Linked DNA regions of Cricetulus griseus. The protein of the gene in region 1 purifies or fractionates together with the protein of each later gene. This does not show direct contact. Links are inferred from orthologs where the notes say so. Each region holds a gene or a part of one and is shown in the gene's direction. Other genes may lie near its edges.

Evidence for each region. Proteins that work in one complex are often made in the same cells at the same time.
Region 2: the proteins of Ube3a (region 1) and Psmc1 purify together in Homo sapiens (affinity purification with mass spectrometry; 5 studies listed by BioGRID and IntAct, with this or other methods). This does not show direct contact. The link is inferred for Cricetulus griseus from reciprocal best matches to the Homo sapiens genes UBE3A and PSMC1.

The regions. Positions count from the first base shown.
Region 1 is NC_048596.1:138,735,386-138,742,533, reverse strand, and holds the start of Ube3a (ubiquitin-protein ligase E3A), read left to right. Parts: upstream 1-2,418; 5' UTR 2,419-2,558; intron 2,559-7,148. UniProt on the Homo sapiens protein: E3 ubiquitin-protein ligase which accepts ubiquitin from an E2 ubiquitin-conjugating enzyme in the form of a thioester and transfers it to its substrates.
Region 2 is NC_048598.1:105,595,061-105,602,302, reverse strand, and holds the start of Psmc1 (26S proteasome regulatory subunit 4), read left to right. Parts: upstream 1-3,363; 5' UTR 3,364-3,457; coding exon 3,458-3,460; intron 3,461-5,782; coding exon 5,783-5,836; intron 5,837-6,554; coding exon 6,555-6,651; intron 6,652-7,242.

The DNA.
Region 1 (7,148 bases):
ATTGTCAGGAATCATTCATGGTGACAATTTTTACCATAAACATTGCTTTCTCCAGCCCACTTTGAAATAATCTCTAGTCATAGTGAGGTCTGCCATGAAATTCCAGATTTTCTGGTCTCAGCATCCTATGTGCTGGGATTGCAGGCAAGTACCTTCATGTCTAGCAGTAATACATGTCTCTAAATTTTAAAAACTTTATAATCCAAAATATGTGAGTTAAGACATCAGTGGCATATATACGAATACATGCTTAACATTAACTAAAAGAATAATTTCTTCAGATTCCCAGGAGAAATCAGGATTCTCCATACAGAGCTAGATTGTCATTTTGACATCTCCTAACTTAAACTTTTAAGCTGTTTAGAACTCTAGGGTTTTGGTCACATTTTGATAATTAACACTATTGTAAAATTAGTTTTCTTTTTCAGACACCTTCTAGTGATTCGAGAATAGCAGAAAGTATCTTCACATATTGCAATAGTAATGTGCTTTATAAAAGTCTAATGATCTTAATTTTTGGTTGTACATTTTAATAGTTTGCAAAGAGAAATCCTTAAAAGGTTACATTTTTTTACTGGTTCTTTCCATAAAATACAGCGGTAGTTTCCAAATGAAGATCTGTAATGGGAAGGAGAGATGAAAAAAAAAAAATGACTAGATACTTTTAAAGTATCTTAAAATTTTACATTACAATAATGCCATTTATTATTATTTATCCTGGAATGGTTTACATTCTTCCCCGTCTTGTTTTTTTTTTTTTTTTTTTTTTTTAACAAATAGCTGTTTATATTGGGGAGAATATATACATACACACACATACGTATACACACACACACAATTTGTGTAAAGTCATAGTAACGAAAAAGGTACATTGCTACGTGTGATTGTTACATTTTGAGTACTAGATAGTTACTGTTTATCCACAATGTTACAAGCCAGAAAATGACTTGTCAGCCAGCCTTTATCATTTAGTGGCAATTGTCAAAGCCATTAACTAAAATAACAAATCTCGTTAAGTAAAAATGCCACGCGGGCACCATCAAGACGCATGGCTTTTAACAGGGTTCAGCTGAAATATATATATATATATATATATATATATATATATATATATATATATATATATGTTATACATACACACACACACACACACACACACACACACACACACACACACACATATATATATATATATATATTTATATGATTCAGCCTGCCGGTTACTTCCCTCCGTTGACAACACTGCAGGACCTGGGCCTTTACCTTCTAGTATGGGAAAACAGTGACAGATCCTGTGCTGGCAGAGGCCTGAGCTGATACCTTGTCTGCTACGCTCAGCAATCCCTGCAACGTTTACCAAGGCAGCTGGGGTGAAAAGGCGTGTGTGTGTGTGTGTGTGTGTGTGTGTGTGTGAGAGAGAGAGAGAGAGAGATATCGTAGGGGGGTCAGTGTGTGTGTGTGATATTGTAGGGTGTGTGTGTGTGTGTGTGAGAGAGAGAGAGAGATATTGTAGGGGGGTCAGCCCTAGCAACTGAACATTTCTGCTCCTCCTTGTGTGTGTGTGTGTCCATGTGTGTGATTATAGGGGGGGTCAGCACTAGCAACTGAACATTTCTGTTCTTCCTTCTCGTGCCTCGGGCTGGGGACACCACCTCGGCCGACTTTCGGGACCGATCAGTCTGCCTAACTGACCCGGAGCCTGTCCTCGGCTGGCTAGCTCGGGCCGCTCTCCCGAGGACACGGAAGCACACCGGACGGGTAAAAGGAGCAGGGCCTGAAAGCACCAAATCTCTCCCAGCCCCGTCTCAAGATGGCGACAGCGCCTGGAAGGCTTCCATTGAGCCCAAGGCCATCTCCTCTTCCCACCGCTCCCCGCGCCGCAGCGAAGGCGAGCTAGAGGAAGGGCCTCGCGGAGCTGCGAGCGGGGCGGGGCAGAGCCCGTCGCCCTCCCACGCACGCGCGACCTCGCCTCACATCCCGCCTCTCCCTCTCGGAGCCCTCGCCCTGCAAGGGCGGCGCGCGCTGCCTGTCGGGATACTCGGACCGCCCACCCACCCAGTCATCCCGTCCTGCGTTGCGTTCGCGAGACCCGTGTTTCTCCCAAGATGGTGGCGCTCCTCTCTGGGTGGCTCTAAGAGACGACGGGGCCTTTCGTCTTCGCCAGCACCTCGCTGCCCCCTCCTGCGCTCGTTCGCGCACCCGGCCGCGCAGCCGTCCACCGCCTCCTCACGCCTCTCCTCTGTCTACCTGTCGCGGACGGTGGCGCCTCCTTCTGCTGCTTCTCGGAGTTGCTCGCCTCTCTCGCTCGCCTCTCTCGCTCGCTCGCTCGCACTCCAGTGTGGACAGACCGCGGCAGCAGCCGACCAGCGCTGCCGACTCCGACGTTGCCCAGGCGCCTGGCCTCCCGGCCTCGGTTTCCTGAAGAGAAGCGCGGGTCCCGCATGAGCTCCGGCGGTGGCGCCAGCGAAAGGGAACGAGGCGGTGGCGGGCGGCGGCGGCGGACGAGGGCGACTAGAACCAGTGAGGCAGCCGCAGCCTAGGCGCGGGGGCGAGAACAGGTCAGTGCTGCTGCGACCGCGGCCTGCCCGGCGCGCTCTCTCTGGTCTCTACCGCGTCCGCCTTATCCCCCTCCGGGCCGCGCAGGCAGGGTAGGCGCCCGGGCCCTTCACCCGCCTCTGTGAGCGACTGCTTGGGGCGCGTGGTCTGGAGGGGCCGGTGCCAGGAGTAGGCCCTGGTGGCTGCGGCTGCTGCAGCCTTAACTGTCAGTGCTGGCTGGGCGCAGGAGGGAGGGTTTTGTCGCCCGCGGGTACCCAAGTGGGCCCGGGGTGGGGCGGACGTGGAGGGCCTGGAGATCGGGGCCTCATCGAAACAGGGATCGGACAGCCAGCCGTGGCTTCAGGCTGCGGAGGGCAGGCCTTTTCCTCCAAAGGGACGCTCTGGGTGGGAAGACATATTTAGACGTGTGCTTAGTGGGTTGGGGTATTGGGGGTGGATTGGAGAGGAAAGACGGATGAAGCGGCACATCAAGCCTAAGGATTGCGCTCTCGGTTTCTCCGTGTGCTGCTTCCGATAGAATTCGGTAGTTGAACGTGAGTTAGTAGATTCCTCAGAAACTGCTATGTTACATTTAAATGCAAACCTGTAAGCAGTTGGCCTCCTCCTCCTCCCCCTCCCTCTTTTCAGTTGAGAAAATGAAAAGGACGTTTTCCCCATCTTGATGCGGAGGCTTTTTGTTGAAAGAGTCAGAATTGAATGTGCTACATGCTTTACCTCTAAAGAGAGAAAATATAATTTTAAAACGACTTTTCAGACTGTAATTCTTTTCGAGGAATTTTTTTTTTTTGGTCATTTTTTAAAATGACTTTTTATGAGCATGCTAAAGCAGAACAGTAAAAAAAAAAATCTCTTTGGGATTGTATTAAGTAGCTAGTGTGCTGTTCCAAACGTAAACTAAATAGTATATGGGATTTGTGATCCATGATTGTCTTCAATCGTGAAGGACTGTGGGTATAACCCATGATTTTGGGAGAAACAGATTATGCCAGAATGTTTTGGAGAGGAAAGTGCGTTTGAAATAAAGATGACCTAAGTTTAAGAAATACAGCTGCTAAAAAGCTACATACCAAAGACATGCCACTACCAAATAAATCTTGTTGAATAAATGGGAAAAGTGACATGAGAAGTGTTTTCCTCACACCTTGGATTAGTGGTTACTCTTAAGATGTCTTTGGAAAATCATGCAAATTTAGAATTAGAAGAGATAGAAATTTTTGTCTTGGCATGTGTGACAGAAATTGCTGTGGTATTTGATTTTCCATTTAAATCAAGTATGCTTACTGCATTTTTAAGGAAATGAATTACCACATCTATGTTGCTGATAAGCCTTAAGGATGACTGTAAATCCTTAAATGCTTAGCATTACAAAAAAAAAAAAAAAGCCTAAGCATCAACATATGTAACAAAAGAGAGAGCTTCCACAAATAATTTGTAGTCTATATTTTTTTAATAAGAGATACTGTACATAATAAAAAGATGACTTGTAGCTTTGGTTTCAAAATCAGAATGTAAGCTGTGAAAGACTTGTGTCAATATTTAACTTGCATTGGTGTGTGGAGTAGCGTATACACACATACTCCTTTGGACATTGCCCCCATACCTGAGGAGTTCATGAGGTTAGAATATCCTTTTTGCATGCAAATTTTGTAGGCATCTTTTGTTTTTATCCCTGAAATCCACCACCCCCCTCCCTACCTCTTTTAATTTTTATTTCATTATATTTTTTTAGAAAGGGTCTTCTAATATAGCTTCTGGATGACCTGGAACTCTCCTGGCTCTGTCTGCAGGGTGCTGGGATTAAAAAGTGTACCCCAACAGCACTGGCTACTGTCTCATTTTATGGCTTTAAATGTAATTTCTACCTGAGACTAACCCTCTTCCCACTTGATTAGTCCTTTTAACAGCATTCATTGGATATCTATAATGTCTCTGACATGTAACATTAAAGTCAATTGTATTTTTAAAACATTTATGTCAATCTCTATCTTCTGTCAAGTAATTGCTGTAATTTGTTTCTCTCAATTTTTATGATTATCCTGTAAATTGGCCATAGCTAATTTTTTTCTGCTCAAGAGCTTAGAATAATTTTTTGCAAATGTCATTAAAAAAAAACTTAAACGGTTAGTGGTGTATTCTTACTATTTATTCTATTTAGGTTTATGTTTGTTATTAATGATAACATTACTGGTAAATGAATCTATATATTAAGTGCATATGCAGCTATTAAAAACATCAGTGATAAGATTTTTGAAAGTAGAAATGAGTTTGCAAAAGTGGTCTTTTAAGTACTTTCAAGCACAAAAAGCACATGACAGGGGGTCCATATAAAATAGTCTTTAAAAAGTCTTTGATATTCTCTTCGTTAGGGTTTAGGATAATAGGGTTTTGGATGGTTTTGACAGTATCCTCACTGATAAATATAAAGACAATGTTAAGCCAGGCACGGGGTCTCACATCTGTAAAACCAAGAATTGAAAGGTCAGGCAGGATTGTGGCAAGGTCAGGGTTAGCCAAGACTAAAAGGTGAGGTGAGAGAATGTCTCAAAAAAAAAGTAATGATTAGAGATGTGCTAAAATATTAGTGGAAATAGCTTTGCAGTTTATTTATTCAATTTCTCTTTTTTAAAAAATTTACTTTTCTAGATAGTGTTTCTGTATCCCTGGTTATCCTGGAACTAGCTGTGTTGACCAGGCTGGGCTTAAACTCACAGAGATTCCCTTGTCTCTGCCTCTAGGATAAAGCCCTGTGCCACCACCACCCAGCTTTGTAATTAGAGCTGGATTTAATTTTTCCTGAGCCATGGTTTTATCTATAAACAGGATGGTAAAGATATCCCAGATGTGAGGATTAAAGACTGTACAGTGCCTCATAGGTTTTCAACTTTACCTTAGCAGACTGCATACCCAGTTTTTCTGAATGATCTTTAAGCACTTTGTATATAGTGGTCTATAGCCCATAAATAATTCTATTGTTTGTTTTCTGTCTCATTGTGAGCTCAGTCTTTAAGTGCAAGAACTTCTATTGTTTAATTAGAGAATATCTTTCCAGGTGCCTTTAGACTGTTATATTATCAAACACTGGGTAGTTTACATAAATTAAAAAATACCCCCATCCCCCCACACACCTTAAGTATAAGTGTATATCATAGTTACGGACATTGAGAAGTACCAAGATCAAAGCTAATTTTCATTGAAAACTTGAGTAGTGTTAGGATTTGTTTAGTTGGACTAGGGATTGAACCCAGGGCCTCTCACGTGCTAGCCAACTACTTTACGACTTCCTTGTCACTTTTGTATTTTTCACACAGGTGTCATTAGGTTGGCCAGGTTGGCCTTAGACTTACTCTAGCCTAGGCAGACCTTGAGCTTGGGACTCCTCCTGTCTCATCTTCCATAGTTATTAGATTGCAGGCCTATATCACCATGTTTGTGTTGAAGTATGTCTTTGTGTTTCTGTATGTCTATTATTTTTCTCTTTGAGATTTTATTTTATGAGAATTTTGCCTGCATGTATGACTGCACCACCACATGTGTGTGGTGCCTGTGGAGGTCAGAAGAGGGTGACTAGGAATAGTTGCCATGGAGGCTCTGGGAATTGAACCTAGGTCCTTTGGAAGAGGAGCAAGTGCTCTTAATAGCTGTGCCATCTGTTTAGCCTCCTTTCCCTTCCACCTTTCCAGTTTTCCTTGTGACAGGGTCTCACTAACCTCTGAAACTAGCTGTAGAGACTAAACTGGCCTCCAACTCAGGCAGCCATCTGCCTCTGCCTTCCCAATGCTAAGGACATCAAGGCAGATCCTCCTAAAAGCCCCACCTTATAATTTTGTCACCTTAGATTTTAGGCTGTTAGAGAAGTTTCAGGGGCTTGTAAACATTCGGCTCATATTGTGGAATATGCCTGAAATAGTTATTAGCATATTGACAAATGGTCAGCTAACATTTCTGAATCGTATTTGAATACTCTGAACTGGACTGGGTTATATGGGTAAAAATACAAAAAACTTGTCTATCGTTTGGAAGCTGATAGTTTTAGTCATTTATTGCACATAACACTTTTTTTTTTTTTAAATGTAACATCTTGTCATATTATGGAACTTAATATGCCCCAGTCTTAGGGCAGTTCTGTAGGCTTAGCATCTCTTACCCCTCAGCTGCAATTATAAAGACATACTATTTGTATGTTTTTTGAAGAGTGTGGTGGGGATACAATCGAAATACATGTGTTCAAGTCTTGTTCCAGCTCATTATTCAATATCTGATTTATAGTATGTATACATGTGTGGTGTGTGTAAAATAAAATAGATTACTCTGGTACTTGGCCTGTTAATACTAGCTTTTGGAGAGTGGTTGATTATTCTACCTTCTGATAATAGAGTCATAGATTTTGTAAATGTGAATAATCTTCTGCCTGAGATCAGCTTCTGTATTAATTTTTTTTTAACATGAGGAAATTGAAGAGTTAAATTTTAAGATGGTTTTCTTAAATTCACCTAGGGCCAGAATCAATTTGGAGTCTCTGGCTCCCAGGTCAGGAGTCTACATTTATCAGCAGGTGTTCTGTCCTATCTGTTTAGAAGAATAGTTAAACGTAC
Region 2 (7,242 bases), on another chromosome or scaffold:
CACTTTGTTTGCTGGCTTCTGGCAGCTTTTGCATCCCTTGGTCCTCCACAGTGGACAGGAGCAGTGGGCAGCCCAGCAAATAGATGGCAGTGGCGGCAGATAGTGCCCTCTAGTGTTCTGGCCTTGCTACGGTCTTGGATAGTGAGACCCTTAGCTCTACAAGTCACAGCTCTGGTGTCCTAGGACATCAGGAATGCCTTTGGCTGCAGCTGGTGTGGCAACTTCCAGGCGAGCCTCCATGCTGGGACGCCTCAGCTGCTGACAACATCACTGGCAGTATAGCTCCACGGTAGACCTCAGAAGCCAGGGTTCCTCAGTGCTTACACCAGCCACTCTTAAAGCCTGGGGTATCTGAGACCCTTGGCCCTGAACAAGTGACAGCTCTCTGGAATTCTCTAGCAGCCAGTACCTGTAGCATCTCTTCGCTGTGCCTGCCAGCCTTTTACAACCTCAGCTCTCCATTCTTGCCAGCTCTCTGTTCCTATCACTCTTCTCCCATCTCCGGCTGCTGACAAACTATTCAGTTGCCACCTACCAATTGCTCAGCTGTCAAAGACACAATCTAGGCTGTTGCTGCGGCTGTTGGTTCACTGCTTTTGCCATCACCACAGCTCTGCTGTTTCTGCTGCTTCTTTCTTTGGGTTACCGGTTCATGTCTCCAGCCTCTTAAGAGTACCTTTAACTTCCTTCCCTTACCACGAAAGCAGGCAACAAAAAACCACTTGAGGGAAGACTTTTCTTGAGCCTAATGTTACAATATGGGGGGGAGGGGCACAGAGGAATGTGCAACTCAATGAGCAAGCTTGCAGCATAGAAGTGGGCAGAGAAGGAGATTGAGATAATCAGAATACATCCTGTGTGCTGGTGAAGGTTTGTATTCGCACCAATCACCTTGCCTCTTCAACATCCATCCATCTTATAACAGTCCCTCTGCTAGACCATCGGGGATAAAGAGCCCCCTCTGGCCTAGGTTGTTGCAGGGTCATCCAGAGCTCATTGAGGTAAAAGCCAAAAGTCCGGTACGAAGTGTTTGAAATAACCAAGGCAACTGGCTGTGATTGTGTATTGTTTTCTCAAGGTGTCTGCGGAGTATTCAAAATACCTAGAGATGCTGGCTGTTTGACTAACAGCCCTTTGGTTCAGAGTAGCCAGGGCACCAACACAGAGTCTAGTAGCTGCTAATCAGGGAGTCAGATTTCCTCTCCCCAAATTCTCTCCTTATTTAGCAAAAAAAGAACCTAAGGAATACTCGCATTAAGAACTTAAAGAACTTTTCATTCGTTGCTATTAAGGCTAATAACACTAATTAACCATAATGCTTAACACCTGGCCAGGGTCCCAAGAGTGGAGGACCCTCCTCAGTCTCACCTGGACTCTGTCCACTTTCAGTGTCCTCACTGTCTTTTTTTAAACTTCTAGTTATTTTATTTATGTGTACATGTGTTTAATTACCACATACTTGCAGGTGCCCTCAATGCCAGAAGAGGATGAGGGATCCCCTGGAATTGGAGTTACAGGAAGCTGTGAGCCACCCCATTGTGAGTGTTGGAACTGAACTCCCAAGAACAGCAGGTATTCCTAACCCCTGGGCCATCTTTCCAGCCCCACGGTCCTGCTTTCTGATCTGAAGCCAGTGCAAGTACTGTGTCAAAAAAGTGTTTCTGTAGTCCAGACAGGAAGTTATTGGAGACAGTCCTTAGGAACTGTGTTAAAGATGCTAAATGCAGCTTTTCACAGCTGCTGACTGCTGGCTGCTGACGGGGGAGGGGGTGGGGAAGGACTCAGGGCTCTTTAAGGGCTGGCCACTGGGAGTTTGACCATGCTTTAATGAGTAGATGGACAACACAAATTGGACTAGGTGGGGTTTGGGGGGGTGGACCTGGGAGAAATGGGAATCGAATGTGATCAGGGTACATTATAGGAAATTCCCAAATAATTAGTAAAAATATTATGGGAGGAATGTGTTTCTCTGTAAATTTTCATTAGAAAACACTCTGATCACAGGACAGTGGTGGCACACACCTTTAATCCCAGCACTCGGGAGGCAGAGGCAAGCTGATCTCTGTGAGTTCAAGACCAGCCTGGTCTACAAGAGCTAGTTCCAGGACAGCCACCAAAGTCACAGAGAAACCAACACCCCCCCCAAAACAAACACATACACATACACACACACACACACACACACACACACACACACACACACACACACACACACACACACCAAAAAAAAAAAACAAACCCCACCCGTAGACGGTTTTCCAAATGCTTTCTACTTATGCTGTTGGTGGCTTAGAGAGTTTGTTCTAGAACATGTTCTTTTACTTTTGGCTGGAATCTGTAGAGACCCTTTATTTATTTTATTTTATTTTTGGTTTTTCAAGACAGGGTTTCTCTGTGGCTTTGGAGGCTGTCCTGGAACTAGCTCTTGTAGACCAGGCTGGTCTCGAACTCACAGAGATCCGCCTGCCTCTGCCTCCCGAGTGCTGGGATTAAAGGTGTGCGCCACCAACGCCTGGCCCCTTTATTTTTTAATTTATTTATTATATATACAACATTCTGCTTCCATGTACATCTGCACACCAGCCAAGGGCACCAGATCTCATAAGGGATGGTTTTGAGCCACCATGTGGTTGCTGGGAATTGAACTCAGGACCTCTGGAAGAGCAGTTGGTGCTCTTAACCTCTGAGCCATCTCTCCAGCCCCTGTAGAGACCCTTTATTTCAGAGACCACTTTGTCTCAAAAGTTTGAGACATCTCTCCAGCCCCTCGAGGGCAATCTTAACACAATATTTGCCATCATCCTCAGTCGTTTGTCATGGGGGTGAGGGGGACAACTCACAAATTTAGGTAACTTTAGCGTTCTCAGGAGAGTTGTCAAATTCCAGAAACTAAAGAACTTAAATGCTGTGTATACGTCAAATTTTCTTTGTTTTCTTTTCTTTTTTGTTTTTTGTTTGTTGTTGTTTTCTTTTGTTTTGTTTTTTGAGACAAGGTTTCTCTGTGTAACGGTCCTGGCTGTCCTGGAACTTACTCTAGAGACCAGGCTGGCCTGGAACTCACAGAGATCCTCCTGCCTCTGCCTCCCGAGTGCTGGGATTAAAGGTGTGCACCCAGCCTATGCAGCAACTTTCCAGTCCCAAGTACCCATTCCAATTCTTAGCGCAAATACTTATTTCTGCTTAAAATTTTTGCATAATTTAATTTTTTCTTAATTTTCAAAATGGCCCTGATTCTTTGGCAACCAAGATGAGCCCGACAGGAGCTATTTAGAATTCCCTCTGCCCACGATCCCTGTAACTAACTAAACAACTGGGACGATCCCTCCGCGCGCAACTCGCCTGGGAGCGAATTGGACCTCACGGGCTTCCGTAGCTTTTTCTTAGTCACTTCCGCTCCTGACGGGGTCGTTTCGGTGGATGCACTTCCGGCGGCGGAGGCTCGGACGACTGGGGAAAGATGGTGAGTGACTAAGGGTTTCGGCCGGTGGTCGTGGGCACGGAGGGCGGGAGGTCGGGGCGACGCGGCCGGGACCCGGGCCCGGGCGCCTGGGCGGGCGAGCGGAAGCACGGGGACGCGGGCGAGCGGAAGCACGGGGACGGACCTGCGGGGAGCCCGCCGAGGAGAGGCTGAAGAAGGGCTGGAGCCGCGCGGGGCAGCCCGGGACGCGGGGGCGGCGGCGAGCCCCCGGCGCTCTCCGGTTGGGTCTGTCGGGCCGGAGCCCGGGCTGGGCGCGGAGACGGTGACCATGCCAGGGAGCAGGACCCGGCAGGCCCGGGCCAGCCGTCCTTGTGCGGCTGAGACCCACCAAGGTGTTAGGGTGTCCGCGGAGCAGTCAGAGGGGAGCAGGGGCCGGCCGAGGACCGGAGACAGCCGTGAGCTCGTGCCTCTGAGTGTGGGTGAAGGCCGGAACCCGCAAAGGTCCTGGAAAGTATTCTTCTGAACATGGGCCGGACATTTCCCCATAGTTGTCCTTACTTCTTGCAACAGCCCCGGAGATGATTATTAATATCCCCGTTCGAGTGAGGAAGCTGAAATGCATTAAGAAGTGGCCATTGGTGTTACACAGGTCCTGTCTTTTCTAGAGCAGTTAAGGAACGAACACCCAGGGTTTGCTTTAGAGAAGACCGTGGTGTGAAGTCTGCCTTTCTATCCAACAAGCTTTGTGACAATATGCAAAGCCACTTAACCTCTCTGGACCTTGGTCTCTTTATATGTAAATTGGGGGTGGTGAGAATTAAATGGCTCCAGGGTTAAGAGCTCTTGCTGCTCTTCAGGGGACCCAAGTTCTGTCCCCAGTACCCTGTCGGGAAGCTCACAACAGCCAGTAGTAGTTCCAGCTCCAGGATATCTAACGCCATCTTCTGGTATCCTGGGACACCACACACACACACACACACACACACACTTTTTTTTATTTGAATTAGAAACAGGATTGTTTTACATGACAATCCCAGTTCCCTTCTCCCACCCGTCCTCCCCTAGCCCCCCAACTAAAACCTTATCTGTCACATATCTTTTCTGCTCCCCCTGGATGGTGAGGCCTTCCATAGGGTGTCATCAGTATTTCGTATCCTTTGGGATAGGGTCTAGGCCCACCCCCATGTGTCTTGGCTCAGGGAGTATTCCTCTATATGGAATGGGCTCCCAAAGTCCACACCTATGCTAGGGATAAATACTGGCCTTCTACAGGAAGTCCCATAGATTTCTGAGGTTTCCTCACAGAAACCCTTGTTCCTGGGGTCTGGATTAGTGTCATGCTGGTATTCCAGCTATCAGACTGGGGAGCAAGAGTTCCCGGATGTTCAGGTCAGCTGTTTCTGTGTGTTTCACCAGCCTGGTCTGGACCTCTGTGCTCTTCACTGGTCCTTCTCTGCATCTGAGTTCCAGTTCAGATCAGTGATTAGTTAATGGGTATCTGCTTCTACTTCACCAGCTGCTGTATGAAGGCATATAAGTCAGTCATCAATCTCATAATCAGGGGAGGGCATTTAAGGTAGCCTCTCCTCCGTTGCTGAGATAGTTAGCTGCACACACACACTTTTAAGAAAAGAAATCTCTTTTTAAAATCAAAAGAGACAATATTCCAAGAATGTTTCGCACACTGCTCAGCATATTTTAAGAGCTTTATAAAAGGTGTGGCTCCTCTTCTTTGAGACCGAAAAACATGTAAGATGTCCCAGAGATGAGGAAAATGTCTTCCACTGGAGCCAAACTGGAAAGGCTTGAGGATGGTAGATGAACCTGGGAAGGCTCGGTATAGCCAGGTTGGCAAAAGCTAGGCTTGCTGAGCTAAGGGCTATACAATACCGCTGGTGGGTTTGGGAAGGATTGACGGTTCGGTTCATTGTTTTAGAGGATAATAGCTCTCTCCTGGGAGGCTGAGGGCCAAATAAGAAGGCATGGACTGGAAGAGAATGGGTGCAGGAGGGGTGAGAATAGAGACAGAATTGTGAAGAATACAACCAGATTGGATTTGCACCAACACAGTGAAGCCACAGAGACAATTACAATCCTGACCCAGTAGTCTGCTGATAGAACTTAATCCATAGAAATGCTAAGGGTATATTTGCTGTTTTCATTTCCAGCAATAGGTGGGAAGGAGCTGAAATCTTCCTCTTACAGACATCAGAGCTCAGTGGAGGAGCCTGACTGGTCTAGAGTGATGGGACCAGAATTCAGATTCCACAGGCCACGTTTCTTAGGCTTGTCAACAATGATTGTATTCTAAATTAATGTCTGACATGTTCTTTTTCTTTTTCTTTTTTTTTTTTTTTTTGACAGGGTCAAAGTCAGAGTGGTGGCCATGGTCCTGGGGGTGGCAAGAAGGATGACAAGGTAAATGAAAAGCAAGATATTTACATGATCTGATCACGCTGTGGAAACATCCATTAGGTCTCAGTGAGTTCCTTGTGGAGCCACAAACTTTCAAAAGCAAAGTAATGTAGTAGTTATTTCCGTGACCCGGATTGCAGGTGGATCACCTCTTTCCTGTTTTTTTGAGAAGCTTATTGGCCTGAGATAATGATTTTTTAAGTGTGAACATTGTGGATGTTTTAAAGTAGATTGTCTGAGTGTGTAGCATACCGAGGTGTGAGACGTGCCGAGCCTTACTCAAACTTTTGGCAAGTAACTCAAGTCTGACCTCTCTCTACTCACTGAAAAAAATCCAAGTTCCTGCCATCTCTCTAAAGAGATGACATTCACGCACGATGCAGTTAAATCTCAGAGTGCAGGGATATGTAGTCTGCTTTTTAAAGATGGTTATTTTACGGAGTCCACGGGTTGTGTTTATATCAATAATAAAATTTGTAACAATAATCAAAAAGAGGCCATCAGTGTAAGGTGGGGGTTGTGGGGATTAGAGTGATAAAAGAGAAGGGGGAAATAATGTAATTATATATTTTTTTTTAAGTATTGATAAAGAGGACAATTATCTTAAATATCCCAAAAGGTGACATTTGTATACCCAGAATAGATGCTATCAATACAAAAATAAATGTGCATTTTGTGGTTTCCATGTGACTTCTTTTTCCTATTCTTTTAAAAACTCAAGGACAAGAAAAAGAAATATGAGCCTCCTGTCCCAACTAGAGTGGGGAAAAAGAAGAAGAAAACAAAGGGACCGGATGCTGCCAGCAAACTGCCACTGGGTAATGGGCTTGCGCCTCTACTGTCTTCCTAGCTCCCAGGAAACCACTCTGCATGTAGCATAGAGTGTAAAGGGGAGACAGGGAGTATCGGGGAGACTGAAGCCTTAGCACTGTGGTTGTAACCCATTCTACTTAGCTCCCGTGGAGCCTTCCCTGGGTTGATGTAGAAGTTATATTTTATCTTAAAATGCAGTATTAAATGAGTGTCTCGTGCTAAGAGATCCCATCCACAGTGCACTATGGTGCACGCCTTTAACCCCAGCACTCAGGAGGCAGAGACAGGCAGACAGGTCACTGAGTTCTAGACCAACCAGAACTGCATACAGAGACCCTTTCTCCAAAAAAAAAAAAGATGATGATAATAATCCCATTTACTGTCTTTAAATAGCCAACCGCTCTGAAGTATTGAAAATGGAAGTCATGTATTATTATTTTACAGGGGGCACACGCATATGCTATGGTATGTGTGTAAAGGTTGGAGAACAGCTTTTGGGAGTTGGTTCTCTCCTGACACTTTTCTGGGGATGGATCTTAGGTCATTGGGCTTGCACAGCAAGTGCCTTTACCCATAGAGCCTTTATCTTAATGGCC